Linked DNA regions of Kluyveromyces lactis. The protein of the gene in region 1 purifies or fractionates together with the protein of each later gene. This does not show direct contact. Links are inferred from orthologs where the notes say so. Each region holds a gene or a part of one and is shown in the gene's direction. Other genes may lie near its edges.

Region 1 (11,530 bases):
TTATAACGAATTCAATTCAATAGATAGAGTAATTTTCCGCATACCTATACGAACAGAGTACCAGATCGCTTTCCCTCAAATATATGCAGCTCGACCAAGATCTGTTGAAACATTGTGGTACCATGATCCGCTCTCGTGTACCGTTAAATCTGAAATGGAGCACTCATCTGCTACCTTTTTTTTCGGACAGTCTCTCAACCCAACTATTTCGCATTCCCTGCCCCATTTCCACACAACTGCAGAAAACACCAGAGATAACTCTTTTAGGATTCCAATGGATGTCAGACCTTTAATGGAAACACAAGAACTATTTTTTCCCACTACTAATGAAGCAATGTCATTATATCATGCACCATATCCATACAACAAAAGATCGGGTAAAACCACCAGAGCTCAGGATGTCGCTCTAATAAAAAGGTGGTACCAAGAACATCCTGATGAAAGATATCCTAACAAAGTAAAGAGTTCCCACCAAAGACTATTGAAGAATATTGTAGCAAATGAACTCCATACCGATGACCACACTTCAAAAAAGAAAGTTAAGTTGTTACAAAGTCTAGCAAATACTAAATTCTTCCAAGAAACAACGATAGATTGGGTTGAGGCCGGCTTACAAGTCTGCAAACAAGGTCACAGTATGCTCAATCTCTTGATTCACAAAAAAGGCCTTACGTACTTACATCTTGATTACAATTTCAATTTAAAGCCAACTAAAACCCTTACAACGAAGGAGAGAAAGAAGGCAAGATTTGGGAATGCTTTCCATTTAATAAGAGAAATTTTAAAAATAATAAAGTTGTTGGTAGATTCTCATGTTCAATATAGGATGGGAAATGTCGATGCGTTTCAGCTTGCTGATGGATTGTACTATATTTTGAACCACACAGGACAACTCACAGGTATCTATAGGTACAAGTACAAAGTCATGCATCAAATTCGTACATGTAAAGATCTAAAACATGTCGTGTATTATAGATTCAATAAAATTATCGGGAAAGGTCCAGGATGTGGTTTCTGGCAGCCTGCATGGAGAGTTTGGATATTCTTCCTTCGAGGCATAATACCGATTCTAGAAAGGTGGCTAGGAAATTTACTCACTCGTCAGTTTGAGGGAAGATCAACTGATGTTGTTAAAACTACTACTAAACAAAGACTCGATGCTTACTATGACTTAGAACTACGAGCATCTGTTATGAATGACATTTTGGACATGATTCCCGATGGAATAAAGCAGAGCAAGGCAAGGACAATTTTACAGCACTTATCTGAGGCTTGGAGATGCTGGAAAGCCAATGTTCCCTGGGAAGTTCCAGGAATGCCCGAGCCAATAAAAAACATTATAGAAAGATATGTGAAAGCAAAAGCTGACGGTTGGACATCTCAAGCTCACTATAATCGTGATAGAATCAAAAGTGGTGCCCATGTCGAAAAAATTGTATTGAAGAAAAATTTAGGCAGATTAACTAGACTTTGGATAAAACATGAGCAGGAAAGGCAAAAGGAAATTGAGAAAGCAGGTCCCGAAGTAACCCCAGCAGAAGCAAGTGCAGTGTTCTCGGCAATGGTAGATTGGCTTGATGCCAGGAACTTCTCACCTATCCCGTTCCCTCCTTTGACTTATAAAAACGATACGAAGATTTTGGTTTTGGCACTTGAGAATTTAAAAGAGCAATACGTTTCAAAAGTCAGGCTAAATGCCCAGGAACGTGAAGAGTTAGCTTTAATTGAAGAGGCATATGACAATCCTCATGATACCTTGAATAGAATTAAAAAACTATTGCTAACCCAAAGATTATTCAAGCCAATACAACTAACAATGATGGATCATTATCAACACATATCTCCAGTCTATAACGTTGATCCGTTGGAGAAAATTACCGATGCATATCTTGACCAGTATCTATGGTATGAAGCTGACAGAAGGCAGCTTTTCCCTAGTTGGATAAAGCCAGGTGACTCAGAAATCCCGCCACTTCTTGTTTACAAATGGTGTCAAGGCATTAACAACTTAGATTCTGTATGGGACATCAGCAAAGGGCAATCGACCGTATTGTTGCAAACTGATTTACAAGAATTCGTTGAAAAGATGGATTTGACACTAATAAACAGGCTCCTAAGGTTAATTATCGATCCGACATTAGCGGATTACATTACTGCAAAGAATAATGTCAGTTTGATCTTTAAGGATATGAATCATGTTAACAAATATGGTCTAATAAGGGGATTACAATTTGCACCATTTGTTTATCAATTTTATGGTTTAATGATTGATATTCTCATCTTGGGACATGAAAGGGCACAGGAACTAGCAGGCCCTCCAAACGAACCATCTGAATTCTTGCAATTTCCAGATAAAGCTACTGAAACGAAGAGCCCAATTCGCCTCTACTCACGCTATCTTGACAAAATCCATATTTTATTCCACTTTGAAGAATCTGAGTCTGATGAGCTTATCCAAGACTATTTGATGGAAAACCCCGATCCAAATTTTGAAAATTCTGTTGGTTATAACAACAAGAAATGCTGGCCTAGAGACGCCCGCATGAGGTTAATCAGACACGATGTTAATCTAGGTCGTGCTGTTTTCTGGGAACTTACATCTAGGGTACCAAAATCACTTGTTAACATAACGTGGGAGAATACTCTTTCTTCAGTTTATAGCAAGAATAATCCTAATTTACTTTTCACTATGTGCGGTTTTGAGGTGAGAATACTACCGAAATCTCGGATGGAAGATGTCATTTCTCATGATGAGGGTGTATGGGATTTGGTGTTGGACTCCACAAAAGAACGGACTGCCAAAGCGTTTTTACAGGTATCACAAGAAGCTATTGATGAGTTTAGAGGTCGTATTCAAAGTATTTTGATGGGTTCCGGCTCCACAACTTTTACAAAAATTGTGGGCAAATGGAATACTGCACTAATCGCTTTGTTTACCTATTTTAGAGAATCTATCGTCACGACAGAACCGTTACTCGACTTACTCGTGAAATCTGAGACTAGAGTTCAAAATAGAGTAAAACTCGGCTTAAATTCTAAAATGCCAACAAGGTTCCCTCCAGCAGTGTTTTATACACCTAAAGAGTTAGGTGGTTTGGGAATGCTCAGCGCATCGCACATTTTAATTCCCGCTTCTGACTTGAGGTGGTCAAAACACACAGATACTGGAATAACACATTTCAGGGCAGGGATGTCCCACGAAGATGAGAAGATGATACCAACAATTTTCCGATACATTACTACCTGGGAGAACGAATTTTTGGACTCACAGAGAGTATGGGCGGATTATGCTGCTAAAAGACAAGAAGCCATAAAACAAAATCGTAGGTTGGCATTTGAAGAATTAGAGGGTTCTTGGGATAGAGGTATACCGCGGATCAGTACCATATTCCAAAAAGATAGGCATACGCTAGCCTATGATAAGGGTCACAGGATTAGGCGACAATTCAAAGAGTATTCAGTGGAACGTAGTAATGCTTTCTGGTGGACAAATAATCGTCATGATGGTAAATTATGGAACTTGAATGCCTATCGTACGGATGTCATTCAGGCCTTAGGGGGTATCGAAACAATTCTTGAGCACACATTATTTAAAGGAACTGGCTTTAAATCATGGGAAGGACTTTTCTGGGAGAAAGCCTCTGGTTTTGAAGATTCAATGCAGTTCAAGAAACTTACTCATGCACAAAGAACTGGTTTGAGTCAGATCCCTAATCGTAGGTTTACGTTATGGTGGTCTCCGACGATTAATAGAGCGAACGTCTACGTTGGGTTTTTGGTGCAATTGGATTTAACAGGAATATTCTTGCACGGTAAAATTCCAACATTGAAGATATCTTTAATTCAAATTTTCCGAGCACATCTATGGCAAAAAATCCACGAAAGTGTGGTTTTCGACATCTGTCAAATTCTGGACGGCCAAATGGATATACTACAGATTGAATCTGTTCAAAAAGAATCAATTCATCCACGTAAGTCGTATAAGATGAATTCGTCTGCTGCTGACATCACATTGAACAGTATTTACAAATGGAAGGTTAGCAGACCAACATTGTTGCATCAGACGAAAGATTCTTTCGACGCTACCACAACTGACAAAATGTGGATCGATGTGCAGCTTAGATATGGTGACTATGATTCTCATGATATATCAAGATATGTCCGTGCGAAATTTTTAGATTACACCACAGATAACGTGAGCTTGTACCCGTCTCCTACTGGTATTATGATCGGTATTGACTTGGCCTATAATATTTACGACTCCTATGGAACGTGGTTTGAGGGATTGAAGCCCTTGATACACAACGGTATGAAAACAATAATGAAAGCTAATCCAGCACTTTACGTTTTGAGGGAGCGTATCAGGAAAGGTCTTCAGATATATCAATCTCAAGTTCAAGAGCCATTTTTGAACTCATCCAACTACGCAGAGCTATTTTCCAATGACACAAAATTCTTTATCGATGATACGAATGTTTACCGGGTCACTGTTCATAGAACTTATGAAGGCAATGTGGCTACTAAGCCTATCAACGGATGCGTGTTTACTTTAAATCCGAAAACAGGTGAACTATATTTGAAAATAATTCACACTTCGGTGTGGGCGGGGCAGAGCAGATTGGCTCAATTGGCAAAATGGAAAACCGCAGAAGAAGTAAGTGCATTGGTTAGATCGTTACCCAAAGAAGAACAACCTAAACAAATTATAGTTACTAGAAAAGCTATGATGGACCCTATGGAAGTACACATGTTAGATTTCCCAAACATTTCGATTCGTCCAACTGAGCTCAGATTACCTTTTTCTTCTGTTTTGAACATAGAAAAATTAAATGATGTTGTTTTAAGCGCTACAGAACCGCAGATGGTTTTGTTCAACATTTATGATGACTGGCTAACTCGAGTTTCTGCCTACACTGCTTTCTCTAGATTGATATTGCTATTAAGAGCGCTCAAAACCAATGAAGAAAAAGCCAAAATGATTCTATTAGAGGATCCTACAATCCCAACGAGAGCTAATCATCTATGGCCTTCTTTTACTGATGATCAGTGGATTGAAATTGAGACGAAGATGCGTGATCTAATTCTCTTAGAGTATGGTCAAAAATACAATGTAAACATTGCTTCTTTGACTCAAACTGAAATCAAGAATTTGATTTTAGGACAGAACATTAGAGCTCCATCTGTTCAGAGGCAGAAGATGGCAGAATTGGAGGCTGCAAGAAATCAGAAAACTGATGAGTCGTCGCAGTCTGCCACGGCAGCCATGAAGCTAAAAACAATCAATGCTCAAGGTGAAGAAATTACAGTGGTGTCATCCAGCAATTATGAGTCCCAATCTTTCAGTTCGAAAAATGCTTGGCGGTCAAATGCAATCTCCAATTCATTGCTACATTTGAAGCTTAAGAACATATATGTTACTGCCGAAGATTTTGTAGAAGATAAAGATGTCCTCGTATTCCCACGGAACTTGTTGAAGAAGTTTGTCACAATAGCTGATGTCGATGTCCAAATTGCAGGGTATATGTACGGGTCACCTGTAAAAGATCACCCTAATGTGAAGGAAATTAAGACGATAGCACTTGTCCCTCAACTCGGCAGTTCCGCAACTGTTCGCATATCTCCTCCCCCCTCATCTTCCAAATATCTCAACGACATGGAACTGTTGGGATGGATACATACCCAAAAAGTCGATTCCAAATTCATGTCACCATCTGAAGTGATCACTCATTCCAAAATGTTTTCAGATCATAACGAAAGTGCTGTTGATTTGTGCATAAATCTAATCCCAGGTGCCGTATCAATTACAGGATATACGTTAAGCACTACGGGTTTCAACTGGGGCTTACAATCGAAAGACATAACGGACCCTTCACCAGAAGGGTTTGAAGCTTCATTTAGCGAGACTGCACAGATTTTATTATCTGAACGCATTATGGGCAATTTCTTGGTACCTTCGTCATCGATATGGAATTACGCTTTCATGGGAACTGCTTTTAGCGAAGATCTACCTTACGAATTGAAATTAGACATCCCACTAGAGTTCTATAATGAACTCCATCGTGCTCCTCACTTCATACAATTCTCTGAACTTGCTGGAGATGAGGAATTAGAACCGGATCAAGAAAATCTATTCGCTTAAGCGAAGGAGAATACAGATAATTTCTCTATAATTGTTATATATTTTTTTAAAACCATTTTACATTTATATTAGGCATCTGACCTGCATTTGCCCTTACATCAACCGTATAAGACGGTTTGGAATGGCGTTTTAGGCTCTACGATTTTCATATTATCATAAAAGTGAAGTAGTCATAATGTGCTTGTTCCATCTGACTTCCAAACTTTCACGTGACTTCTCTCTGAGAGGTAATACTGAATATTTAAAAAGTAGACAAGGAACTTCGTCCCTTGAAGATATTGCACATCGACTCTCCGATGGAGACGGTTAAACAAACAGTTTAACCAAAGTGATTATTGGTGCATATTGGAAGAAACTAGTTACTTTCAATAAAGGAAGCCGTGAAATAATAATGGCGCGAACAACTACCAAGAGAAATGTCTCTGCAGCAACACGACCACAAAGAAAGAATCCATTGAGATTTAAACCAGGTAACTCTGGACCGAAATATAACAGGCCCAACGCAGCAGGTCCTAAAAAAACGGATCATATGATAGCTGCAACTTCTACTAACGCGAATCAAACATCTAACTCTGATAAATCTTCTAAATTTCTCCCAATGTCTGGTCATGAAATGAACGCAGCTAAGTACATTATGGAACTAACGAGATTAGGTTACTCGTTTGACAAAGTACAAAAAGGCTCCAAATCAAATTACAACTTTCTATCAAAAATGTATAATGCCCTTAGACTACCCGTTAATATTGACTCTGGTGACATATCGTCAAATGAAGAGAATGATGTGAAAATAGCAGTTAAAGAGAATTTACTTACAAAGCCAACTGCTTTCCAAAATTCTATTGAAAAGCAAGAGACACCAAAGCTATCACAAAATGAAACCGAAGCCACAGAATTTAATCAAAGTACCTCTGCACCAAATGTTTCTAATACTAAAAATAGGTCGTTCGCACTGCCAGAGGAACGGGAACTAACGGCAATCGATTCAATTGCATCAGAAATGAATGAAGAAAAGCTTGGAATGGCATTATATGAGCAGACATCCCGTATACTCATGAAGACGAGGCTAAATTTACTGAAGCTAAAGGCTGCAGCAAACAAAAGAGTACCGAAGTTTAGCAAAGAACTGGAAGCGTCTCTCAAAAAGAAGAAAGATTTACTGATTTCAGATATTGAAAGTTTCTATTCCACAATTGGGTTACGAGATGAGTTCGCTCCAGGAATGAACGATGATTTCATCGAATTGGGAGATTCTTTTATGGATAAAAGCAACCACGACGAACATATAGTCAATGATGAAAACGAACTGCCGAAACGTCTACAAAGTCCGGATCAACATATCAGTATGGCGAACTCTAAAACTTATCAACTCAATCTCAATCAAGCTAGTAACGGCCTAGTAGAACCATCCACAATCATACAGGACAGTGTCATTAAATTAAAGAAGTCTACACCAGATCACTTTACCCCGTATCAATCCCTCAATTTAACGAAAAGAACTCAACCTAATACTTAATACTAACGCGTTCGTACGTAAAATTCTGACGTATCAACTCACCGTTTCCGTTCATTATCATGACGTTTATCAAACAATATAATTTATAAAGGAATGCACGAAAATGCATCAATATTTGTGAGAGGACCAAAGTGTCGGTTCTATACATCCAATGTAAGTCGTACCCTAGCCCTGCGATTGCCTTTTGCCATGCGCAATGTTTTGGTTTGGAATCAGAAAATGTTGATCTCTAAAAAACGTAAATATTAAAACAATACACATAAATATATCGCGAATAAGAAGAACTATTTGAATATCTTCAAACGCGAAGAGAGAAAAGCCCAACTGCCAATCAGTCAACTTTAGGATTAGTGAATTGGTGGTAACCCAAATGGTGGGGATTCAAGAAGCAGAAAAAGAAGCATACTGTTGTACAAACTCAATAGCAATAAGGCTTTGAATTCTTTACTGGAAACACGATGGTTTCTACCCCAAAGAAAAAACGTACCGCCAGTGTTTCTATATCGCCATTTAAGAAGGATACGGATGCTATTTCAGTGGATTATAAAGGGAAACCTAAAAAGAAACCAAGTAAATCTTACCATTTTGCCCCCCTGAACCGGCTTAGCAGTGAAGAACCAATTTTGAAATCGATACCGATCTCAAGAGTACGAAATGTGGAAGCTGGAAGTTCCGTCAAAGATACTGTCAATGCGAAAACTAGTGGCAAAACAAAGCTTGCATCTAAAAGAATTATCAATAGCACAAAGACTAGAAGGGAAAAATCGACTGAAGCTGTGCCAGAAACGAGGTATAGCGATGGTCCGTCGGAAGAAGTAATATGGAGATACTCTCCTAGGAAAATTGATGAGCAATTATGTAACCATTATAATACTGGAAACGACGATAATAACTCCGATGAATTAAGTCAAGATATGCCTCTAGGTCAATCTTCTACTCCATTGATCAACGATAAGTTTAAAGATGTGATTGATTTTGAGAACATGGATCCCAACAGCATTGATAAAGAATGCAGGAAAATTGCACAAGGATCTCCTGTAAAAAGAGGAGAAAAGGATGTCACACCTATGAGAGATATACACGAAATTTTAAACGACTTAGAAGGTCCTAAGTTGCTTCCGCCTTCTTCACCAATTTGCTCGGAACCAGTTGTTATAGACGATGACCCTGTAGAAAATCTTCCGGAGCTGGCATCAGAGAGTATTTCAAATCATAAGCATACTACAACTAATGGCATAGAACGCACGTTCACAATGTATCCTCCTCAGATCAATATAGATGACGACGAGGATGAGGACGATTCGTTAATTGATATTCTCACACAAAGATTCACAAAGCCAGTCATCACAGAATGCAATGAAGAATCAGAGGAATCAGATGCTTCCTTATTAGAACTTCTTGATGAGGAAAAGCCAGCTACACTCCCTCAACTTCAAGTGAGAAAAATTGAACGCATTGAAGTTATGCTTGAATCAGAGGATGAAAATGTGGAAGACTCTGTAAAATCAAATGAAAATCAAACCGATCATCTGCTTAATAACAAAGCCGATGTGGTTGAAAGGTATGTTAACTTGGCTAAATTCCCATTCCCTCAACGCGGCTGTCAAAGACTATGTATTTTTGAAATCAAGGAAATGAAATCACCAGCGCAAATAATTCTCACATGCTTCAATCAGGATGCTGGAAAAGTTAACCTAATTCTCAGAGATCCATGGATTCGTTTCAGATACGAGCAAGGAATGATTATTCACCTAATAGAAGGTGACCACTTTCCTAATAAACGGCTTCTTTCAAATGACAAAGACCCTAAAACAGGCCTCGAAAATGATAATTTATTGATCGTGTATCCGGATGTTCTTCTTTCTGCCACTGCAATTGGGACTGCCATGGATTGCGAAAGGCGTGCCGTTTTATCTTCAAAATTTAATGAACCCGGTGAATACTCGCTTGCAGCTGTCTTAGGTAACATTATTCACGCGTTGGTCCAGGAAGTGTTAAAATTGAAGCTGTTGGAGCCGAATCAGTTTCTCTCAAAAGGCTTAGCTCTCGAAATTCTGGACAAAGTCATAAAACCATTCACTACGGAGGTGAATATGTGTGGAGAATCTGTCGAATCAGTGATTAAAACGATTTCAGATGAGCATTTACCTTTTATCATAGAATTTGTGAACATTTATGTCACTAAGGACAATTCAAGGTCCTGGATTCAAGTAATTGGAACAAAAAATAAACGTAAATTATCTGTTTCTCAGATCGTTGATATTGAAGAGAACATTTGGTCATCAAAGTATGGATTGAAAGGATATATAGATGTCACTGTTGAGACGAATGTTGATTCAGACGGTAAAAAGTTGTTAGCTCCCGTGGAGATAAAGACAGGGAAATGGAAATCTAATGCACACGAGGCACAGGGTCTAATTTATACATTGCTTCTCCAGGATAGATATGACATCCCTGTAAATTTGCACATGATGTTGTATACTAAGCTAAGAGAGTTCTCATTACAACCCAAAATTTTAATATCGCTAAAGCATCTGCTTAACCTCAGAAATAAACTTGCGACATACCTACAAGTAATGAATGAAGAGATGTCTGATTGGGGTGGACCACAACATGAATTACCCGCAATGATACAGAACTCCAAGTGCGATCAATGTTTCATGAAGACATCTTGCATGGTGCTCAACAAGTTAAGTGACAAAGAACAAACGCCAGGATTGCTAAAGCATGAATATACTGATTTAACCAGACATCTTGAAGCACAAGGCTCACAGGTCCTAGAGCTCTTTCGGTCGTTTTACGGCAAGTACGATAGGCTTTTAATGATGGAAGAAACTAGCATAACAAGTGTCACTAAAGATACTTTCCTTATGTCGGGCACAGATCGAGAGGCTCAAACAGGACATTGCATAAGTCAGCTTACCATAAAGAATGTACAGGATCAGGGAAACGGGAGATATCTGTACACTTTCTGCCGCGAAAACGATATTCAAGGGTCATTTGCCACTTCCAATGCAGAACAACAGGAGACCAAGAAACTCAAGAGCGCTCCACCTAGCATGCTCTCGTCAGATATCCATAAAGGAGATTATATAATGATCAGTAACGACACCTCTGGCCAGTTAGCCATTGGAACTGGTCATGTCTCTGAAATCGCTAACGATTTCATTGTGATAAATTGTGCGAGAAACATTCTGGCAAACAATATTCATGGTGATTCTTTTGATAGAAATACGAGACAAGTAGTTCGAAGTGTTTTACTTAAACAAAAAGAGCCATTGAACGAGAAACAAAGCTTGACAAATAGTCACCGATATCGTATTGATAAAAATGAGAGTGCTACAGGACTTACTTTGGCTCGTTACAACCTTCTAAATCTCTTTCTTCCAGAAGTCCTTATTGAAGCTGAATTCTCACCGCAAAAATCTGGAGAAAAATTACAGCTTCCTGTTAAAAGATCTCTTGGGGGTTACAGCAGGGGTCGTAGGCTCATTGTAGAGCTTTCCGAACCGAAATGGACGACTCATGCGGCCAGAATACCAACTCTTAATGACAGCTTTAATGAAAACCAGAAAATGGCGATTGAACGTTCGCTCACCTGCCGTGACTACAACTTGATTTTAGGAATGCCTGGAACTGGTAAGACATCAGTTATTTGTGAATTAGTTTCAATATTGGTAAATCAGGGAAAATCTGTCATGGTGACAAGCTACACCAATTCAGCTGTCGATAATATTATAATGAAGCTAACTTCGCGTATCCCTCGCTCTAAGATGGTACGTTTGGGATCTGGACGTCGAGTCCATGATTTGGTCAAACCATATTGCATAACAGAGATGTTAGATGGTGATAACGAGAACTTGTCGGAAATAATCGAT
Region 2 (10,560 bases), on another chromosome or scaffold:
TGTTAAAGGAGTTGGATTTATGCTTAGAAATCAAACAATCTGGGGTAATAAGATCCATGAATATCCAAACTGCAACAGCTGTTATCGTTCATTCGTACTCGATCCAGCATTTATAGATATGCATTTATAATAAACACCCTGAAAAGTACCTATTTACTATTTAAATGTTCCTTAATCTGAAGCATCCAAAGCTTTTTCAATATGTGGTGCGTATTGACGAATTAACTTGAACGCTTGTTCTAAATGATGCTGACTGAACCCTTTGATATTATCGTTATTCAAGCCAACAGATCTTATCGGAGAAGTAACCTTATCTTTGTACCACGTAATTAGAAGGCCATTGTTCGATACTATGCTCTCTTCAAAAGTTGGATCCACAAAAACACCGTCTCCTACAATTGCGAACGTAAACAATAAAGGAGCATCTGCCTCTAGCTTAACCATATCGTAATCATGGAATGTGGGTAGCTCCTCCACTTCTAAGTCATCGTCGTTCGATATTAGTTTCGGTAGCCATGTGTTTTTCAAAGCGCTGAAAATGGCGAAAGATATCATTGAGATCGGGTATGATTTGGAGGCAAGCACCAAAACGTCAATGTAAAGTTTGAAACTGTACCTTTTCGTGAGCATTAGCTTTTTCTGATCAATAGTTTGTTTGAGCAATTTGGATAATAGTGAAGACATGCTGGTAACCAATGGAGAGTCATCTCTGTGGCCTTGGATGTCGACATCAGCAACAAGCAATTCTTGTTCTACCGTATGGTCCACGACTTTAGTTTTTACACTCACTATACACTCGCTTCCTCCGCTTAATATCACACGGCTGGATCCATTAGAATTGGGAAGGAAATCAGTAGATACTTCCAATGGTCTAAATTGATGTGGACCTCTTCCATCCGGTCTTAATGGGGGATCTAATGTTAGAGAATCGTATAGGAACGATTTTTCAGTTAACGAAAGTCCCATTATCTTCTTATATTATTTGATTTTTTTTTTAACGAGATGGGTCTGCTTCGTGAGAAGATAACTCGCTTTAAACTCAGATGTTTCTATTGCTGTTGATAGAAGGGAAATAAGCCTTTTCTCATCATCTCATTGCATCTCATCTCAAGCTCATATAAGTCAATACTGAAATTAGTTCAGATTTTTCATTTCTTCTTTTCGCTAATGCACATTAATATTCGGTGTTACCCGGATATAATTGGCCATTAGTGAGATGTTCTGTCAGGTGTCAGTCACGGTTCGAAGTACTAACATACGATGAATGCTGACTGACTGATATTGAAGTTGTACTGATACAGGGTGCTGATGTTTAATATATATACAAATACATCAACTGTTTTATGGACATAATTATTCCTTATCTTTTGATTTTATTTTTGTTCTTGGTCGGTTGCCCTTTGCTAACGATTCTATACAGTAAGATTGGAAATACCAGCAAATGACATACTCCAATGATGCAGAATAATATTGTGACTTTTGCCAGTAGATAAGAGAACGTTGATTCGTTGAGATTTCTATGATCGACATCTAAAGCATGCAATTCCTGGCCAGAATCCGCACTGACCAACGAAAACAGGTCATCTCTACCCTGGGATAACAAATTGAGATCATCATCAGTAATCAAATCCCACTTCTGTTTCTGAATCAGATCATTAGACGTGATGCTAATTGCTACTTGCTTCACACTATCTATGGCATTCCATGAGGAGTCTAATGAAAAGTTGATAAGGCATATTTGGAAATTCTGATGTTCGTATACGCTCACGTAAAGCACAGTTTCCCCATTCTCTAAACCATGTCTTGACTGTACCAAATTTTGGTCTTCGTCATAAATATCCATGTTGACAACCTGTTTTCCCTTTGAACTCGTAGTTGGACCAAACCTATCCACATTAACTTTCCATTTAGTAAATTCTTCAATTTCAATGAGGAATTGTAAATCCTTGGCCTTAATATTCGTATTCATTTCGAAACAAGTTTGATAACTAGACGCGTCACTCGAGCCGTCAACTTCCCATTTTTTATATGGCCACAAATCGAATTCTAATCGATTTGGGTTTATCGGCAGTTTAAGGGTCTCCGAGACAACTGAACATATCAGTAAAAGGACATATATCAACGATATCACCATTTAAACAAAAAGAACAAAAAAATTACTAGCTGGAACGAAATGAACTGGGTATAATAACAAACGAAAAGACCACAATCTAATTACTGAAGCGAAAGCTGTGGATTAGACCCAAAAAAAAAATTTTGTCTGGCCGAATAAGAACACAAAAAGATATTGACAACACGTATGAAGCACTGAGAAACAACCTTAAAGGGAAAAAAAGAATTGTTTCGATTTGAATTGAACCTGATGCTTTATAGATGGAGACCAATCATTAACCCAGGCAGTTCCCACTTTTCCAACCGAATAATTGCTGTCAAAACGACTCTCTGTATGTTTTTCTCCAAAAGTGTTCTTAACATTTTCATGCCATGGCACAGTATATATGTCGATCATATCAAAATGAAATGAAATGTTAACGTGAACCTGATAGACTTTTTTCGCATCGACGTTTACAGATGGAAGAAAATGAATGCCACAGAGAACGGCCCAGCCTGCTGGAAACAGAAAAAGCTAAATGTTAAGAATGGTCTGTAGCAGATTCATTCCAGGGTTTTTCCCAGCAGATTACCAGCCCGAAACTAAGAGAAAGAAACCAGAACGGGTGCGTTTATTCATCTCTGAAAGTATACAGTTTTCCGAGGTCATACCAGCCCACACTTTTAAACATGCATTTTTGCTTTCATTCATTTTTTTTTTACTATACTTCAATATATGAGTACATTATATATATTTTGTTTGGAATGGGTTCATAAGTTAATGCTATTGGAACCAGTGGCATCAGCAGTATTATCTGAATCCACGCCAACGGTTCTCCGGCCTTGAGATTGCAAAGATCTTTTTAATTTTGTGGACGCCGATTGGATGTCACCGGAAGATACAGTGCTAGCCCTGTGCTGTTCTTCTAGGTCCAAAGCTTGTAGCCTTTCGTTATAATTATCCAATACTTTTCCATTTTCCGCTAATGAGTCTTGGAATACTTGCAAATCCTTCTCATCAATATCATCATCGGAAAAATTCCCTTCCGCGTCCAATTCTTGTCTGTTCAATACCTCTTCACCCTTAAGCTTGGCAACGTACGCTTCTAACCTTCTGTTAGATCTTTGTAAATGCTTCACTGCATTATTGATCTCTTTTCTGATCTCTTGTAATTCATGCTCAGACGATTCTCTAATAGCAATCACGAACTCTTGAATCTGAATTGGTCTACGAATACCAGAAGAATGTGCCATATTTCTATGTTAAGTCTATCCTTAGCTATGTATGTTTTTTCACTTTTTAGTCTTGTTTCGGTTGGAAAGTACGAGATGAATTAAGATCGGTATCCTTAACTATATATTCAAGCTAGCCTTTTATAACAATAATTTAAGCCAGAGTTTATTCTCTTACTATTTATACCCAACGGTAAGATATCACGCCCCACATATGACACCCACCCCTCCGAGGCACCATCATTGCAAATCAGAGTGTATGATGCGCACGTTACTATGCTGACTTTTTCCAGCTCCAAAGCAACACTACTTGTTAAAAATCACATCAGCTTTTCTGCTTTCCTTTCTCCTGGGCTGGATTTCCCCGCCTAAGTCCTTCTCTGGGAACTGAACTTTGTCCCTTTCAGCAAAGAGTTGAGAAACTCACGAGGAACACAAAAACAACGAGAATTAGGGGCCGCTTATGTAATTCTTTTCATCCCATAAAACAGAAAAATTGTGCTGTTTTGGCTTCCACCCATACACTACGCACAATCAGGGGTTGGTGCAATTTCGGATATATTACCCGGGCATGGTGAATTTCATCATAGGCGTTACAGAGTGAAGATGTGATTCAGATTCTATATGAGAGAGAGTTCATTGCGATGCTAGAGAAGAGATGGACAAAAGACAAATGGTGATGTGTAATAGTAACTACGGATTGTCTGGAATAATCGGCCCTTTGTACAAAAATCATATCATCATATAATGGGCAATGATAATAATACTAATAGAGGGTTAAATCGGAAATTGCATTCTGCATTGAGTGTTGAGAATGTCAATTTATTGAGATTTCAAGGTAGACGTTGTGGAAACCCATACTTGCAAGACGTACAGGCTCATGGTTTTGAGCCAAAGGCAAGAGTATCGTCTCATTGGTATGAACCGGGAGAGGTTGTCCAGCATGCTGCAAAATTAAGACAAGAGAACCGTGAAAAGTCTGAAGAAGAAAGAATACGATGGGAAGCTGAACTGGAGAAACAGCAGGAAATCGAACGGAAAATAGAAATAGGGGAACTACCTGATAAGCATGAAGAAGTTTATTTTACCGATTTATCGGACGTTCCTGATGTGGAATGGTGGGATGTTCCATATATCAAAGATGGTAGCATCCATGAGAAATATAGTTTGGATTATTCCACATTGAATTCGGACGATGAAAGTGATGATGAAGAGGAAGAGGAAGAGGAAGGTGCACAAGATAAATTCCCAAGTATTAGGTATATTCAACATCCGGTACCGATTGAAAGGCCTAGGGCAGCTGTTCCAGTGGCAGAGATTTTCTTAACGAAAAACGAACGGAAAAAGGCCAGAAGGAATACGAGGAAGTTGGTACGACAGGAGAAGGAGGAGAAAATCAAGCTTGGTATAGAACCAAAACCAGAGCCCAAGGTTAAATTATCGAATATGATGAATGTGTATGAGAATGATGCCAATATTGCGGATCCAACTCAATGGGAATCCATCGTACGGAGACAAGTGGCAGAGAGGAAAAGGAAACATTTCGAAGAAAATGAAATAAGGCATCAAGAAAGCCTGAAACGAAGGAAGGAATCCCAGTTACAAGCACACAGCAATGATAGTCCTCTAGAATACACGTGTGTTGTTTACATGTTTGACGAAATACAGAATCCTAGTATCAGATACAAAATCAAAACCAACGGTAAGCAATTGAAGTTGAAAGGATGCTGTCTACACATTCAAAATGGCAAAGGTATAATTGTAGCTTTTGGAGATGAAAAATCTATCCGCTTTTTCGATAAGTTGGTGACAAAGCGAATCAATTGGTCGGAACCATACAAAGATAGAGATACCGAAGAGACAGTACCTTGCGACGGTAAAATTACAAAGGTTTGGCAAGGATTAATTGGTGATTGTAGATTCAAGGGCTGGTTCATGCTCGATTGTAAAGATAAAAACCAGTTAAATAATATCTTAGAGCAGCACGATGCATTGACTTTTGTACCATTAGGTAAGTTTTAACAAACAATTACGTACTGAAAATGAAATCCAAGTTCGAAATCATCAAAATTTTGGAATAAAAGTAATAGTGTATGTTAAAAAAAATAAAACCGGAGTAAATCCAACGACCTACTTAGAACATTTATTTACATGGGGTGAGTAGGCAGTCCAAGTGACGCACAATGGTCAACATTATTGAGTTTTATCACTACCAACATCAAAAAAAAGTCATATTTATATAAATAATATCTCCCTTCGTCTCTCAAAATTCAATCATCAATAACAGAGAAAGATACTGGCTCATAACATCGTTCTTTAAATTTAATTCTGGTGTAACGTTCGAGACCTTTATTCGACGACCTTGGCCAAGATTTCAGAGTCTCTGAATAAAACGACTTCATCATCCTTGCCCAACTTGATTGTGGATCCACCGAATTGTGGGATCAAAACTTGGTCACCTGGTTGGACAGATGGTGTAATCTTGTTACCGTTGGAATCGGTGAAACCTGGACCAGCAGCCAACACAGTAGCTTGGTTTAATTTCTCAACGTTCTTTTCTGGCAAGTATAAACCAGAAGCAGTCTTGGCTTCGGCCTTGATTCTTTGCACCAGAACACGGTCCAACAATGGAACAATAGATTTAGCAGACTTCAATAGAGTGGACATTTTGACCTATTATTATAGTGATTACTTCTTAGGGGAAGAATATCAATCGAGGAGGATCAAGGATCTTGTACAAACGCTGACTTTGATATAATCTTGGCACTCTATTGTTGAAAAAATGTCGAATCCTTCATTTTGTAAAGTGTGTAAGCTTTATAGCCTTTTATAAATTTCAACTTTCATGTCAGAAAGGTTCCCGTTTTCGGTGATGCTAGAAAATTCCATGTGGACAGTAAACTACAAACTACTGAACATGGCAATGATGCGGGCTAAATGACTAGCTGGTAGTGGGCGCCGCTTTGGAGTTGTCAAAACAATATATAGAGCTTAAACAATGGTGGTTCACAGCATGTTGAAGTCACAATTCATAGGGCCTTATGTTGCCGGAAGGGGGCAGTAAGGGAGGAAAGGAAAATAAAATGTTGTCCACGTGACTTACAATTTTTTTTCATGAAATTTAATCACTCCGAACGTCTTTTGGCCCAAGTTTTCGAGGTGAAATTCGAAGGGATCACACAGAAGATGTCGCAGAATTTCACTCTTTTCGCATAAAGACACTGACCTTCCTCGAATGAGCTTTTAAGAATTAAAGGATTTCGTTCCAAGGTTAGCAAGTGTTATACTTGGTTTATGTGAATTTTTTTAACCCTTCAACACCGGTTAGGGCTGATTCCATTTCAATCATAAAAACTGTACCAAACACTACAATTTCATACATATTAATAATGGGTGCTGCTTACAAGATTTTCGGTATGACTGTTCAACCACATATTTTAGCCATAGCTACCTTGGGCTCTGTTTTCGGTGGTGCAGCTTACGCCATGTCTGGTTCTAAGGATGCTGAAAAGGCCAAGCCAGCTGTTGCTACTCCAGCTGCTCCAGCTGCTGGTGGTTCCGACGAATTTGACGTTGAAAAGTTGTTGGGTGATTTCTTGAAGGAAGAATCCAAATAAATTCAATAAAGATCAGGTATTTGAACTACCCCCCTTCTATAGATGACGATTTTTTAACGATATTCAAAATGAAACACGACCTCCTACACAGTCTCAGTATTAAAACAGTTTCCCTTTTTTTCATATACATATGTACATGTAATCTGATAATTATAGGATACTTAAAAGTTATTACATTGATTTGTGTTTATCTCAGAATAGATCGTCTAGACTTTGCTCGGAATCTTTTTTGATTAATTGGAGCATCCCTTCCGGTAGAATCGGCTGGCCATCAGAGTTGAATACATATCTGAATGGCATTTCGGTAGCTTCGTTCTTATTGAATCTGAATTCTGGGTAATCGATGAACTTAACGTCTTCAAATTTAGTTTGTTTCTCAATGATGATTTGGGTGGTTCTGATGGCCGTGTCTGTAGTCATTTGTTTGTCCCCTAGTCTTTTTCCGACGAGTAAGTTTGGGTATTGCTCCATAAGTTCTCTGGTACGGTCTCTTGGTGGATGATCTCCAAGAATACCTCCGAAGACGAAATAATCATAATTTTGAGCATCGGATGGAATCAAATCGGTCTTTGCCCTTGGATCTAATAGACAGACTCTTTGAGATTTTAGCTCTGGTAATTCTGGGAACGCTTCATTGATTTTATCAAGGTTCGCAGTGGTCCACTGCAATCCCATTTCCCTGAGCTTCTTTGGAATATCGGACTCAACGGTATCTTCTGGTAATGACGAAAGAATTAAGTTATCCTTGCCAATATCACGAATGATTTGAGCATACTCTAAAGTAACCCACTCACTGAATCCTTGCTCCATGTGCTCAATAATGTACTTCATACTTAATTTGCTTGCTCCTGTATTGGGTCAGCTTCTTGATCTTTCTGCTGTGCTCATCGCAATAATCTGTCGAAGGTTCTATAAAATCGCATTTGATTTTCCATTTTTGTTTCGATTTGGCAACAGTGCATTTAAATTTATGAGCTACGCTGAAAATGAAAAAGCGACAGATCAACTGCTCGCCATTAGTGTTAGTTCTCAACAAGACTATACATATTTTATACAATGTTTTTTATAATGCTCTATTTTGTCTTCTTTGTCTCTACTTTGGTTGATTTTAATTTAGTTATTTCATGAGTTTTAGGTTTAACGTGTTTCTTCAATATTTCCTTCAGCAAAAATCCTGCAGTATCCATGTCTTCAAAATAACTGACATGAGATTTTATAGCACTCCAGACATCCACGTCTAATAAATTGGGTTGGAAAGAATAGTCAACACGCCCGTTGCTGTTAAAGCGCAACAAATTCGAAAGTAATCGTTGGGTCATGAGTTCTTTCTCTTTTAGATTTTTATCTGACATCAAATTCTTCACGGTGTCAGCAATGAAGTCGTACCCGGTCGCATGCGGAATCCATTCTGCTTCATAATTAGCAGTGACTTTGTCTATTAGTGGTTCAACTCGATAGGAAATCGGATCACAGGGATGAAATAGGTTGTAAAAGTTGTTGCATGCGGGAGTTTGCTGTCTTGTAGAGGAATCAGATTCGCCAATTTTGGTTCTTTGTATAAGTTTGAATACACCTATTGGCGAACCAATAGCGAAGAAGTTATCAACTTCAAAATTCAACGGAAACTTAGACTGTTGAGAAAGAATATCAAACAAGATGACGGATCCGAGAGAGTGACCCAGTAAACTGACTTTGCCATCGAATTCAGGATTGTGTTCACGATACTTCTCATATACATCGTTCAATTCATTTGTGACGTGCTTTAGGATTCTATCTAGGTAAAAATCATCACCGTATAGCAAAATGTCCAAGCCAACGTCACCCAACAACTTTCTTAAAGGTCTAATGCCGTCTACCGTCAAATCTGCTAATGTTGGCAAATCCTCATTGTCACGATTCGTATTAGTCTCGTCTGTATTGAATCCTATTGCATGCCTCCACGTAATTGGAAGAACTTGTGTTCCACTATTGGTTTTATAATCAGGGAACTTTCTTGCGGAATTGAACTCCTGTAAGGAAGGATTCGATTTATACAAGTACTTGATGTTGTTCCGTAATAGGTTTACAGTATGCGCAAAGTTAACGTACTGATACTTCTTACCCAAATTTTGACCGATACCATGAACACAGAGAACGAGATGGTTAGTTGGTCTGTAATGACTCTTTTCACTTGAATCACCATTGTCATAATCCTTTGACATTTCATCTTTCATCATATCTTCTTCTTGTTTACTGTTATTTTCTTCGTTTGGGAACTTCACAAGGTCGCTAAATTCCCAAGAGATCATATCGGATATCTTACCTAACCCCATCGCATGTTCGATAACTTGACCCTCGATCTCTTTCGCTCTTTCTGTTAGAGAAGATGGTTCCTCATAGCCCTTGGTAAGCTTGGATGCACCCAATTGAATCAGTTGAGCCACTGAGCTCCGTAGGATAGTAAGCTGTAAATGTCCACCGTAGATATCTGGCAACAAAAAAGCGGTCCTATCGTCTTCAAAAAACATAACGTATTTCCATTTCGAATCTTTTGGTAATCGGAAAATATCACGAAGTTCAGTGGTTTTAGATTTCTCTTTGTCCCTAGAGAGCCACTGCTGATGTAATTCTTCAATAGCCTTGGTTAAGTCATGACTCAACGGCCTATTCTGGTCATCAAACCAGATACCTCTTCGTATTTCATAGGATGGTCCGTCCCAATAGATTGGATTCATAGAAAACTTTTCCAGATCAACCTCGAAAAGATGATCCTCATTAACATCAAGTTTCCTACTGAAATTCTTCTGGGTATAGAGGTCCTCAATCCGTTTGGAGTCGACCTTGGAGAACGGTTGAAATTTTAAAGGTGCCGTTTTTGGTACATACTCTGATTCAAAAGGTTTGGTTTTAGGAATGTCAATTGCATAAAACCACCTAGATGAGAAATAGCGCCTATTTTCTTTCCACATAGCCCGCACCTTCATCAAGCTTCCCCATATATTTTCCTTTATAACAAGCACTTTACCACAATCCTGTACGGATTGTAGGCCAGCGTCAAGGTACTATTTCATTCTAGTTTATTTTTCAAAATATTATCTTTTTGCATGACAATAGGGGAAAACTTTTTAAGTTACGGATGACTGAATAGATAAAACATTCGACCTAAGTGATTGCATTAAACATTGCTGGCAACGCAATCCGCTGGAGTCAATTAAAGTTCTTTAATTTATATGGTTACATAGTGTTTTCGTTCCTTAAATATTGAATTTCGTTCAGTCATCACGATTGAAAGACCTAAGCTTTGACTTAGCACGAAGATTATAATGTCTAGAACGTTTTTCTTCCTCAGGAATGTGATTCTCGGTGACATGTATGACATCTGGTCTTGCTTTCTTTTCGGCAGGCTTATTCCGTTCATTGAGCATACTCCTTTTTCTAGGTTTCGGTTTTGCTTCTTCTTCTGAAGCGGTTCCTAAACCCTCCTCATCCTCATATTTCATTATCGTTTCAAGATCATTCTTTGCGTCCTTGACGTAGTTGATTATATCCTTGAAATCGTCCTTGCCATACATTTTCTGAAGATGGGTCGTTGATTTCGTTAGGGCGGATTCTTCAGCTACCGAGGTTGCCTTCGGCGTGT
Region 3 (11,530 bases), about 290 kb from region 1:
CGATATTCCTCTGATGGTATTGAAGCTGTTTGAAATTAGAGATCGCTTGAAAGATTTTGATATTAACAAAAATGAACAATGTAATTGCAATGACTTAAACATTTTAAACTATGGATATTGATATATATAAGGGTGGATATATCTATAACAAATCTTATTAAGATCAGAGTTATTTTATTATTTCTGTGAAGGGCAGTAGCAAAGCGGAGATATTGGTATTAGACGGTTTACCCTAAGAATCTCGTTAGGTGCTCTGGATATAATATCATGTTCAAGCAATTCAACTTGAGATGCCTGACGCCGCTTGCCAGCGGCGTCTCCTCAAGAGTTCAAGTTCCGTGGAATGTTTCGATGATAATGTCTTTGAACAATACTTCACTTGGTGGAATCAGATCTATGGCCAGCATCACTCCAACCGGGAATGAAGAACAATCTTCAGTTGACGATGTCAATGTCCATATGTTGAAAATCGTTCCTAATAACACAGATGTGGTAGCACTAGAGAAGCAAGACGAATTGTTAAGAAGAAGAAGAAAGTTGGCTAAGGAAGTTACACAAATGAAGAAATTGAAACCGGTTTCTCCAGGTTTGAGATGGTACCGTGCGCCAATTTATCCATATTTGCATAAGGGAAGACCTGTTAAATCTTTGACTCTTGCCAAGAGAGGAAATGGTGGTAGAAACCATAGTGGTAAGATCACGGTGAGACATCGTGGTGGTGGTCATAAAAGAAGATTGAGAACAGTCGATTTCAGTCGTTTCGAATCTGGTATGCAAACTGTGGAAAGAATCGAATACGATCCTGGTAGAAGTGCACATATTGCATTGATAAAACATAACGATACTGGTGCCCTAAGCTACATTTTAGCATGTGATGGGCTAAGAGCTGGGGATACCATCGAATCATACAGAAAAGGTATTCCACCATCATTTTTGAAAGAAATGGGTGGGAAGATCGATCCTGCCATCTTATCTGTTAGAACAGCTCAAAGAGGTAACTGTCTACCAATCTCTATGATCCCAATCGGATCCATCGTTCATAATATTGGTATCACTCCTACAGGTCCAGGTAAGTTCTGTCGTGCTGCTGGTTCTTACGCACGTATCTTATCCAAGATCCCAGAAAAGAATAAAGCTGTTGTCCGTCTACAAAGTGGTGAGCACCGTTACGTATCATTGGAAGCTGCAGCTACCATGGGTGTTGTCTCAAATATTGACCATCAAAACCGTTCTCTAGGTAAAGCTGGTAGATCTAGATGGTTGGGTATAAGACCAACTGTCAGAGGTGTGGCAATGAACAAATGTGACCATCCTCACGGTGGTGGTAGAGGTAAATCTAAGTCCAAAAAGTTGTCCATGTCTCCATGGGGTCAATTGGCCAAGGGTTACAAGACAAGAAGGGGTAAGCATCAAAACAAAATGAAGGTTAAAGATAGACCAAGAGGTAAGGCTGGTAGAAAGGCTAGACAATGATAAGCTTCCCCACAACTGATCCTATCTTAAATATCATCAGTTTTTGTAAACTTATTTCAATGACTTCCATCCTGTAAATATCGTAGAACTAGTTAATTTAAAGAAATAACATAACATCTGTTCAGTTACCAACTCTATTTTAAACAAAGTTTAGATTACTACATCCAGAGCATCATTTGGTCTCTTCTTCCAGCTTAAATTCCCAGTTCCCAAGTTCGAATAAGGAACCAACGACTAACCTTACATGCTGGGCCATGTGATCAAATGAAAGTCTGTCTAAAGTGTCCATCGTACTGTGAATGTATTTGTTAGATTTGTTGAACTCACTTTCAATGACAAAGGAAGCGGGGAATCCATTCTTCGTTGCACTTCCGTGATCACTACATGCATATCCACATTCCGTTTCCACGTAAGGAATATCCAAGAATCTTCTTATAATCAACTTAATAAATTCAGTTAGACCTGGCGTGGTATAATCAGTAATGACACCAACATGCTCATTTTCTGGATCTTCAACATATCCGGTCATATCTTGTTGCAACATTGCGACGACTTTTTTGTTCTCCTCTGCATACCTGGTGAAGACATCCAAAGAACCTAGTAAACCACCTTCTTCTGCACTATAGAAATGGAACTCAATGGTGTTATTGGGTCTGTAACCTGTTGTAGAGAGATGTTCAACGTATAATCTCAATGCCTCTAGATTGGTTACGGTACCAGATCCATCGTCATCAGCTCCTGGCGCAGCAAGTATCGATGGCAATAAAAGGTTCATAGAGTCCTGATGCGATCCCATTACGACAATGTTCTCGGGAGTTTGTGCTCCTTTAATCGATACGATGATGGAGAATTGCTTCCAACCTTTATGCTGAACATGTTCAATGACAACGTCATTGTTCAATGGACTAGTGATGTTAGATAATTTCTCGGAGAGCCAAACAGCAGATTCGTACCCCGTGTCAGATTTGTAATAGCGAGTGTAGAAACTTGTGAATTTTGCCAAATTATCATGCATTGAAACCTTATCAACTCCCTTGGACAACGAATTTACAATTTCGTCGCATTGAGTTTCCTTCGGATAACGGTACACTGGCACAACAGCCTTTTCATCTTTGGACTTAAGTAATTTGGGAAAATTGGTAATATCCATGAATTGCACTCCTTTCCTCTTGAGAGACCATTTCTCGGTCTCTCGTACCATAATAGTCTTACCTTCCTCGATCTCAAGAACATGTAAACTATCAAATGGCAAAGCTGCCACAGAAGCTGCCAACAAGAACCACCCAAACTTCATAACTAGCCAATCTGATATTTGCTACGGAGTTGAAGCAAAGTATACACCGGTAGATGCTTGTACTGTCCCTTTTAATACAGTATTTATCCACTTGTTTCTGAAGGGAAAAAGGGTTTTTTTGACATCTAAGTAGAACTAACGTTGTTTAGAAGTTTAGTGTACATATTATGGAAAATGATATTCATTGATATACAATAATGGAGAAAGGGAGAAACCAAAGATCAAAAGATGACATCTTCCTCTTGTTCGGTAATCAGAGCTTCTACTTGTGGGCCAGATTGTTCTTCTTGTTCTTGTGTGTCGGCAGCTTCTACGCCAGTTTTGGTCGCTTCTTGAGAATCTGGTTTACCTTCAGACTCAGCATTTGCTTCATCTAATTTCTTCTGCTTCATTTCAGCATCCAACTGAGCAGTTTGAATCTGTTTCTTTTCTTGCACTTTCTTCAATCTATAAAACTCTTCTCTATCCAATTCGTCTAGCTCGGAGTTGATATAAGCAATGGTGTTTTCCGTTCTTGGAATGATCACATGTTCAATGGCATTCACTCTACGGTTGGTAACTTTGATAACTTCGTCCAAGATAATGAAAGCCGTTTGTAACGAAGCCAATTCAACTAGTGTTTCAACAGCCCTTGAGTAAATTTCCTTAGCACGCTGAACTTGTTGACCACCACGACCTAGACCTGTCATTTTGAAGTCGTTGATGTTGGAGTCGATGAATGATTCAAATTGAGGCAAGTACACACCACTCACGTTTTCTTGCGTGGCCCTAACTTTGAATCTTGCATTGGCAACATTCTCTTGAACTTGGTACCCTATATTTTCACCTGTAGCATATGTGACCTCCGCCAAAGAGAACGCAGCTGTTTGCATCACTCTGCCCATCTTCTGCTTTGAATCATCTATTCTTTTAGTGATATCACGGAATCTCTTCGTTAATGCTTCAGACTTTCTCTTCAACAAAGAATAACCCTGATTAGCACCCTTTAACTTAGTCTTCATAAGACCCAAGGTCATACGAGTGGGGAAAACCTGTTCCCTATTACTAGACATTTTTCGATAAAATTCAAGATGCTAGGAGTGAAGTCGTTCCTTCCTTGCTGTAATATGTTATCAGTACGCTTAGTACCAAACTCACCTGATTGGTACAGTAGAAAAACAGTTCTTTTCAAAGAAAAAGCAAACGATTACAAGTAAATGTGTTCCAGGTTGGATACTTGTCAGTGCCAGCCTAATTGCAACGTTCTGCCCCAGCTGATATATGCCCCCCTTTTCTACCTTTCTTTCGTCAAATGATTGAATGTCTTATATTTCAGATATTTTGAAAATTGGTTAATTTCGAAATTTAGATATTATTTCATTTACGGTGATATGTCAAAACGTTTAATGAGATGAGTTACAATTAAAGCTCCATCTAAGGTAAAGTTAGTGCACTGTTTTTCCACCAGGTACTGCGAGAGACATATGTTTCGATGGAAATAGATAAATTTGTCAAGGAGGAAGATATTCCGTTTGAGTATGGTGTTGTTAGAGAAAGAGACAATGCTGTATCATGGTCGAGATATTTGGCAACTAAAAGATCAGCAGGCGATGAGTTGAATTTAGATTGGCTATACGAACGTTGTTTGAAGGAGATCAAGGACGACTGGCATCTATGGAAAGAGTTCTTGAAATGGAGGATAGAATTATTGAACGATTGTGATATTTTCAGGCACAAAGATGAATACAATAAGATATCGTTACTATTCGAACAGTGCTTAACATCATGTGGCAAAGTTGGGGATGCATGGATTATGTATATGGAATGGGTAATACAGTTTAAGGATTTGAAGAGGATTAGAGAACTGCTTGGAAAAGCGCTACGATCAATGTCGTGGGAGTACCATGAAGCAATATGGCGTGTTGTCATCGATTTCATTATCAATGAATTGTTAATAGACAACAAGAGGTATGAACTTTCTTTAGAGGATTCCATCTACTATTTTGTTCACGGAGAGCATTCGACGAATTTTGATACAGACCTCTGGTCTTCCTCAATCCTACAGAGATATTCACTTATTTGTGACGACATAGAGCCTTTATTGATCTACATTTTTAAGACTCATGATTGGAGCACGATCGTTCGAGTATTTGAAAAACATCTATCACCTAATTTAAAGCCATCTCAGACAAGTTTATTTGAACTTTACGTTAGTTACATCACTTCAATGATTCTTGTGGATAATTCAGCAGGGGTTGCTGCGGTAGTGGACCAATGTATCGAATTATTCCCTTTCAAGAAGGGTGAACTTAAGACATATTTGATATTTAACCTGATACGTCAAGGAAAAATAACGGAAGCTGAGCTGTACTTAGAGAAAGTTATAAGCGAAACTAAAGACATTATCGAATTTTCTGTATTATATGATTTTTGGATTCGTATGGAGGAGCTATTGACCCAAGAATTAATTCAAAAGATGAAAGACGATAATTCAGAAAAGCAACGGCTGTTCGCAAATATAAGACTACATGCCGACACTCTAACCTCATTAATAAAAAACCACACTATTAGATTAAACGACTTAGAATTGAGGCGAGAACCCAACAACATCAAATTGTGGCTAGAACGAGTGAAGCTTTTTGATACCATCTCTGATAAAGCTAAAGTTTATGCAGATGCTGTTCTTACCGTGGACTATAGACTTCAGACTACTCCAGGGCTATTAGGAGAATTATGGTGTCAATATTGCAGACTTTTTGAAGAGGATATTGAAAAATCCGAGGTCTTGCTGGACAAAGCCACTAACGTCCCTTTCAAATTTTTAGTAGATCTTGAAAATGTTTGGTTATATTGGTGTGAATACAGACTAAAAAGAAGCATTGACGATGCCATAAAAGTTTTGTCCGTTGTATTAGAAATACCAGATAATCATGAATTACTCCTACAAAAATTTGAGAAAGGAGAATCGCCAGCACAAGCAGCAATTTTCTCATCTAAACGCTTATGGGCAATGTACCTTGACTTATTGGAGGTCAAAGGAAACTATGGTACAGCTGTAAATGCGTATGAAACAGCAATACTCATCAAGGCAGCAACACCAGCCATGTTTATTAATTATGCGTTATTAAATGAATCTTCTGGCCATCAAGCAGAAGCTTTGGCTGTTTTCGAAAGGAGTGTTGAGATTTTTCCTCCAAGCGTATCGAAGTCTATTTGGGATATATATCTGGATGTGGCACTCAAAGCTGATATCACTAAAGAGCAAAAAAGAGATATTTTTGAATCTGCTATTAAGCTTGCAGCTTCAGGAGTGGCATGTGTTTCGTTCTTTGAAAAGTACAGCGACTTTGAGTTAAACCTTGGTTTCCACGAGAGAAGTGTCGAGATTTTGCACAAAGGAGCCAAGAATATTTCGGATCTTGAAAGTAAATGTACTTTATGGGAAGAATGCATCAATAGAAGTGAAAAACAATTGGACGTCAATCACACCAGAAAACTATATGAAGAATGTATAGAAACATTGCCCAATTCTAAAGCAATCAAGTTTCTACTTCCATTTGCTATCTTAGAAGAATCGCGTAATGAGGTTGCTCGTTGTAGAGCATTGTTAGACTACGGGAGCAAATTACTGAAGCCCGCACAGAATGAAGAACTTTGGGATTTCTGGAGGAATTTCGAAACTATGCACGGTACAAAAGACTCGTTCAAGAACATGCTAAAAGCACGTAGGTTCCTAGAGGACACAATGAAAGTAAATACAGAGGAAGTATCCAGACATGCAGATAGCATCGAATTTAGGGCGTCAACTGCGAAAATTAGTGGAAGCGGACCACCAAGCGCAGAAGATAAAGGATACTCAAATACGGCTGAAATTGATTTAGGTCTATAAAATGGATATATATTGATTAAAGTTGATAATGGCATATCGATCAATCTCTTATGTTTTGTTTTGGAAGATGTCGTATTGTCTTTCTTTGATGACGTGTAACATACAAAAACACTAGTATCTTACTGTTTTTCGACCCAATCAGTTGAACTCATGTGGGATAATCTACTTAGGGCTCTTGCAAATGCAAACCGTTCTTCATCTAATGCGAAAATCTGTGCTTTTTTGGCAATATCCTTAGAAAATCCGTGTTTACTGACCAATTCATCCTCTACTTCAGGTTCATCTTCATGTTTCATTTGATCTGCTGGTTTAAGCTCATAGTCGTTGACAATATCTTCTGGTTCCACGAATAGTGAGGTGAAGTCATCTGCACCAGTGGTAGCTAATTTACCACCGTTATCGTAAACTGCATCCAAGAATGTAATGAACCGTCTAACTTCGTCACGTACGTATATGGTTAAGTATGGCAAATCTGTGACAACAAAGGACTTGAATGAGTTAGCCAAAGTTAAATAGTCACCAGCAGCCAAAGGTTCTCCACATAATTGTTTAAAGGTGAATTGTGCTACTCTCCCAGGTGTACATTTAGGAACGAGTAATTGTCTACCCCAGATAGTCAATGGATAGTTATATACAATGTCATGGCCATTTTCTGACTTACTGGGACGATGCAGTTGGGCAAAATAACTATACCATTGCTGTACGTGTAATTTCCTCGCCAATTCACACTCTTTTGAAAAATAGGATAAATTATGACTTGGATAGTAATAAACAGATGAAATTGGTCTTGGAATCTTACGATAATCGGTAGGAGAATCCAACAATACCACTTCGGTTCTTTCCTTTATCAGTTCAATACATGGAACAAACGATTCTCTTTGAACACCATTGATGTAAAGATCATCTGGCTTTCTGTTACTCGTTGCAAAGAGTACAACACCGTACTCTTTGGAAAGCAATGTAGTAATTAACCTCCGTAAAATCATGGCATCTGCCACGTCCGTCACTTGAAACTCGTCGAAACAAAGCACTCTAGAAGTGTTTGCAATCTCTGCCGCTAGAAATGGGATTGGGTCGATATCTCTTCCCTTAGCTTCACCCAAAGCATCGAAATTTTGTTCGGATATAATGTCATGAGATCTTTTATGCACATACTGCATGAACTGATGGAAATGTATACGTTTCTTTGACAAAGCTGGAGGAACTGTCAAATAGAACAACTCCATCAACATCGTCTTTCCACATCCTACATCACCGTATAAATATATACCCTTAGGAACACCCTCCGTCGAATACTTCTCTTTCCTTGCAAATAATTTCCCAAGAAACCCTGTTTTCCAGCCGACTTGATCTAGCACGCTTGGTGGTTGTACTGGTTCCGGATTGTACGAAACCAAAGAGTCGTGCAAATGACCTAAGGATTTGATGATACTCCGCTGATACGGATCATCTCTTAATTTTCCGAGCTTTACCAACTCGTCATATTTCGACAACGGTGTTTCCGTAACATCCGCAGATTGAGAAACCCACCGCTGTGCCAATACTTGTTGGAAAAGTCCAAAGGTATACCCTGGTCTTTCAACAAGACCGCTGCCAACTCTACTGACAAGAACCTTCTTACAACCCTGTGAAAATATCAGCATCGCTTGTCCTTGTACATGACCTTTTCCCAATTGCAATAGATTGTATCTACCTTAATTAACGATAGAGTAACTAGTGTATTATTTATGGACAAATAGTAATTCGGAAGTGCAGCTCTAATACAAAACGTTTCCAATTGCTAAGAAGTGAATATCTAACATTCACCATGGCCTTTACTTAAATACTTGTTAGTGGGGCATCGGTTTGAAGTGATAGTTTCTCAATGTCCCCCACTCTGAGGCCGCTTTAATTTTTTTTCTCCGATTTCGGGTTCTTATTCTACAGTAGAAACATGCTGCTGATCTCTATCTATTAAAGGTCTTCCTCCCCACCCCTCCCTGTCGCTATCTGAATACCCTGAATTCGACTTGTAAAGCTATGACTGACAGCTTTGTTTGCTTTGGTTGGTGAAAACTAGAGATCATCAATTGTTCGAGAATGACTGTTAGCATGCATGTCGATATTTACCAATAGATACTCCGCTCTTGCGTACATAATAACGTAACGAACATACGTTTTTAAGAAACAGTGTGGGGTACCAGACTTGCAAGTGCCTCTAGCAACTGGGAATAGTTTGTACAATGCATGGCTCTCACAGTACCTTGACTTTTCTTAGGTCCGATACTTTTGTTTTATGTTGTGTAGAGTTTATTACCTCTTTTCTACTAAATGTTTAAATCCTAATTTAACTTGTGAGATAGCTTAAGGCTTCCACACGATATCATGAATTAGAGAGATTAGAACAGAATATACAGTTGCGGTAGCACTAGACATTGCAAGATTTTAGGGTTTGATATCTTGGGGCAACTAAATTTGTTTCCCAGCATTCCTGATTATTGATGGTGGTTGAGAATAACATTGCAGAGTTGGCGAATTTAACGCTAGATCATCGAATGGATCCTAAAAACGAAGCCCAGTTTATAGACATCACAGATCATTTAAAGGCCCTAGCAGCGAAGTTGGCACCAGAGACAGTGGTCAAAGAAGCTACGTTCAATCTGTTCGAAGGGACTTATGCATTGGAAGTATGCAACGTGAAATTAGATACAAGCCTTATTGAGTTATGCCCTGAAGAGTTGGAATTCGACTGCAATGTACCATACGGGGACTCAAATAATGGAGAAAGGCTTGATTATGTCACTGCGGTTTGTGATCGATTATGTCGCTCTTTGATGAATTGGCTTCATGATTACCAAACTCTACCCACTACGGTGCTAAGTTGTCGATACGTCGAATTTCTTATGGAATTATACACTTCGAACCCGGTTTCATCGTTACAATCGTTCCAAGGATTACGCACGCGCGACCCCTTGTATGATCAAGTCTTGTGCAGCTTTGTGATAGGTGTTTGTTCATTCATAAAGTTCACTTCCAAAGTTTTGAAAGATGGTGGTGTTTACGAGGAGGAAGACTTGAACTGTAACGTTATGAGTTTGGATATGCTCTCTGGCGTGGACACAAAAGAAGTAATAGATTTATTGAACTCTTCGTTGCAACTGTTAGTTCAGTCATACTCAGAATCTACGCATCTACAAAAACTTGTTGATTTAGTCAAACATTTGTTGCACTTACCCAATTATCATTATCCCTCATGTCAGTCTTCGGTTTCTTCAGACTTACTACCTTTGCAAAAATCACTAGATATTATTTCTTCATTGGTACAAGACGATTATACTACTAAGCAGCATTCATACCCTCCTGGTTGTTTTTCCAAGGGCATTCAAAAGAGGCGTGATAATAACTTCCCACCAAAGGATCTCTTTGAACCTAAGGGAGACGAATATGTCTCTTATACTGAATTCATGAGAGATATCATAGCGGCATTATCGGTAAAAGATTGCAATACAGCGTTCGAAATCAGACAATATGTTTGGTTTTTCAACCGAATTAGACAAAGGACAGTCATGGCTCGTGCGTTACTGCAATCATATTTAATTAGAGAAGACACCATCTTAGACAAGTTTCGGTTTAACACGTTCAAGGATATGCACCTTTACGAGTTCTCATTAGCAGGAACAGCATTGTACGATGTAATATCCAGCCGCGAGCAAACAACAGATCGCGATAATATGATAGAAGCCTTGAATGAACTCTCATATTGCCTCCTTCGTTGGTATCAAAATATGCCACAAAATTCATGTAGGCATCGGCAAGGATTTAATAGACTATTACTCGACTGGGACTCCGTTCAAGCGCAATTTGAGCAATATGAAACCCAATGGCAATCAATGGGAATTGTAGATAGCATTACAAACATGGGGAATATCCCATTGATGCCAGTTTCAACATGGATTTACACTACAAAGTTGCTTATGATGATAGAATTCACTTTAGAAGGATTTCATTTGGAAGTTTACAAGCCTTGGGAATCCTTTACTCAGTACTGGTTCTGTTATTACTTGTCGAGTCACTTGGAATCAAACTTGAAAAGATTGCACGAGTTTCTGTTGCAGAAGATCAGTTACATTTTGAATTACAATAAGAGAATAAAGAAACTCAAGGCCGGCGAAAAGAAAGAGAATGCTAAAGCGCGCTATAGACATTTAACAGATAATGTTTTACCTCAACTAAGACTAAACGAGAGAACTGTCAATTTCTTTTTCATGAAATGCACAATATTTAAGTCTCTCTCCCTGGCTCAAGTATTCCAATTTGCACTACTTAAATCTTTCAACGTAATAGATTCTAAGAATGATGTGTCTACCCGATTCAGTTCCGATAGACTCATACATAAACTTAGATTTAAGACCTTTTCCTCAATTGGAATACCCGAGATCCCCACATTTGAACAATTCCAAAAGTCATTAAACGATTTTGTCATTGAACCACCATCAATTCATTCCAAGATACCCAAACTTCTGAACTTTATGAATACTGAATTAGAATCTGCCAAGAGTGCACTATCTACTATCATACAAACCATAGAGACTGGAGAAACAGATGATTCTCCAGTTTCTACCGGCACAAAACACGTGAAAGAACCGGCGTTACAATGGTATAAATCAATGCTTAACTCAACTGTTGCATTGAGTGTCAATGCATCCGTGTTAAAGACGAAATTGTCGGAAGATTTGAAGTCACATGACTTGCATGCCACTTACGACGTTGAACTCAAATTCACACCTAACGGTTGCTACTATTTCCCATTGTTGACAATTTCACCTAAGAAAGCAAGAAATGCTTTACCACACACCACATAATGGTGATATTGCATGTATATAAACGGCCATATAGAAATATCAGTGTACATCTGA

What was found. Proteins that work in one complex are often made in the same cells at the same time.
Region 2: the proteins of PRP8 (region 1) and PRP3 purify together in Saccharomyces cerevisiae (affinity purification with mass spectrometry; 5 studies listed by BioGRID). This does not show direct contact. The link is inferred for Kluyveromyces lactis from reciprocal best matches to the Saccharomyces cerevisiae genes PRP8 and PRP3.
Region 3: the proteins of PRP8 (region 1) and SYF1 purify together in Saccharomyces cerevisiae (affinity purification with mass spectrometry; 5 studies listed by BioGRID). This does not show direct contact. The link is inferred for Kluyveromyces lactis from reciprocal best matches to the Saccharomyces cerevisiae genes PRP8 and SYF1.

Annotation. Positions count from the first base shown.
Region 1 is NC_006037.1:470,227-481,756, forward strand, and holds the end of PRP8 (U4/U6-U5 snRNP complex subunit PRP8), read left to right. Parts: coding exon 1-6,139; downstream 6,140-11,530. Other genes in the region: KLLA0_A05302g (uncharacterized protein), read left to right, coding at 6,531-7,652; bifunctional ATP-dependent DNA helicase/ssDNA endodeoxyribonuclease DNA2, read left to right, coding at 8,111-11,530. UniProt on the Saccharomyces cerevisiae protein: Functions as a scaffold that mediates the ordered assembly of spliceosomal proteins and snRNAs. Required for association of BRR2 with the spliceosomal U5 snRNP, and the subsequent assembly of the U4/U6-U5 tri-snRNP complex.
Region 2 is NC_006041.1:824,173-834,732, forward strand, and holds PRP3 (U4/U6-U5 snRNP complex subunit PRP3), read left to right. Parts: upstream 1-4,071; coding exon 4,072-5,346; downstream 5,347-10,560. Other genes in the region: TRM3 (tRNA (guanosine(18)-2'-O)-methyltransferase), read left to right, coding at 1-116; exosome non-catalytic core subunit RRP42, read right to left, coding at 172-966; RRT6 (Rrt6p), read right to left, coding at 1,361-2,134; TMA17 (Tma17p), read right to left, coding at 2,863-3,345; HSP10 (Hsp10p), read right to left, coding at 5,674-5,991; MCO10 (Mco10p), read left to right, coding at 6,714-6,941; protein-arginine N-methyltransferase SFM1, read right to left, coding at 7,134-7,772; DDL1 (putative carboxylic ester hydrolase), read right to left, coding at 8,015-9,904; AHC1 (Ahc1p), read right to left, coding at 10,193-10,560.
Region 3 is NC_006037.1:173,563-185,092, reverse strand, and holds SYF1 (mRNA splicing protein SYF1), read left to right. Parts: upstream 1-4,238; coding exon 4,239-6,635; downstream 6,636-11,530. Other genes in the region: RML2 (mitochondrial 54S ribosomal protein uL2m), read left to right, coding at 268-1,473; KLLA0_A02013g (putative aminopeptidase), read right to left, coding at 1,646-2,767; VMA8 (H(+)-transporting V1 sector ATPase subunit D), read right to left, coding at 2,989-3,819; AFG1 (Afg1p), read right to left, coding at 6,755-8,278; MAK10 (Mak10p), read left to right, coding at 9,116-11,476. UniProt on the Saccharomyces cerevisiae protein: Involved in pre-mRNA splicing and cell cycle control.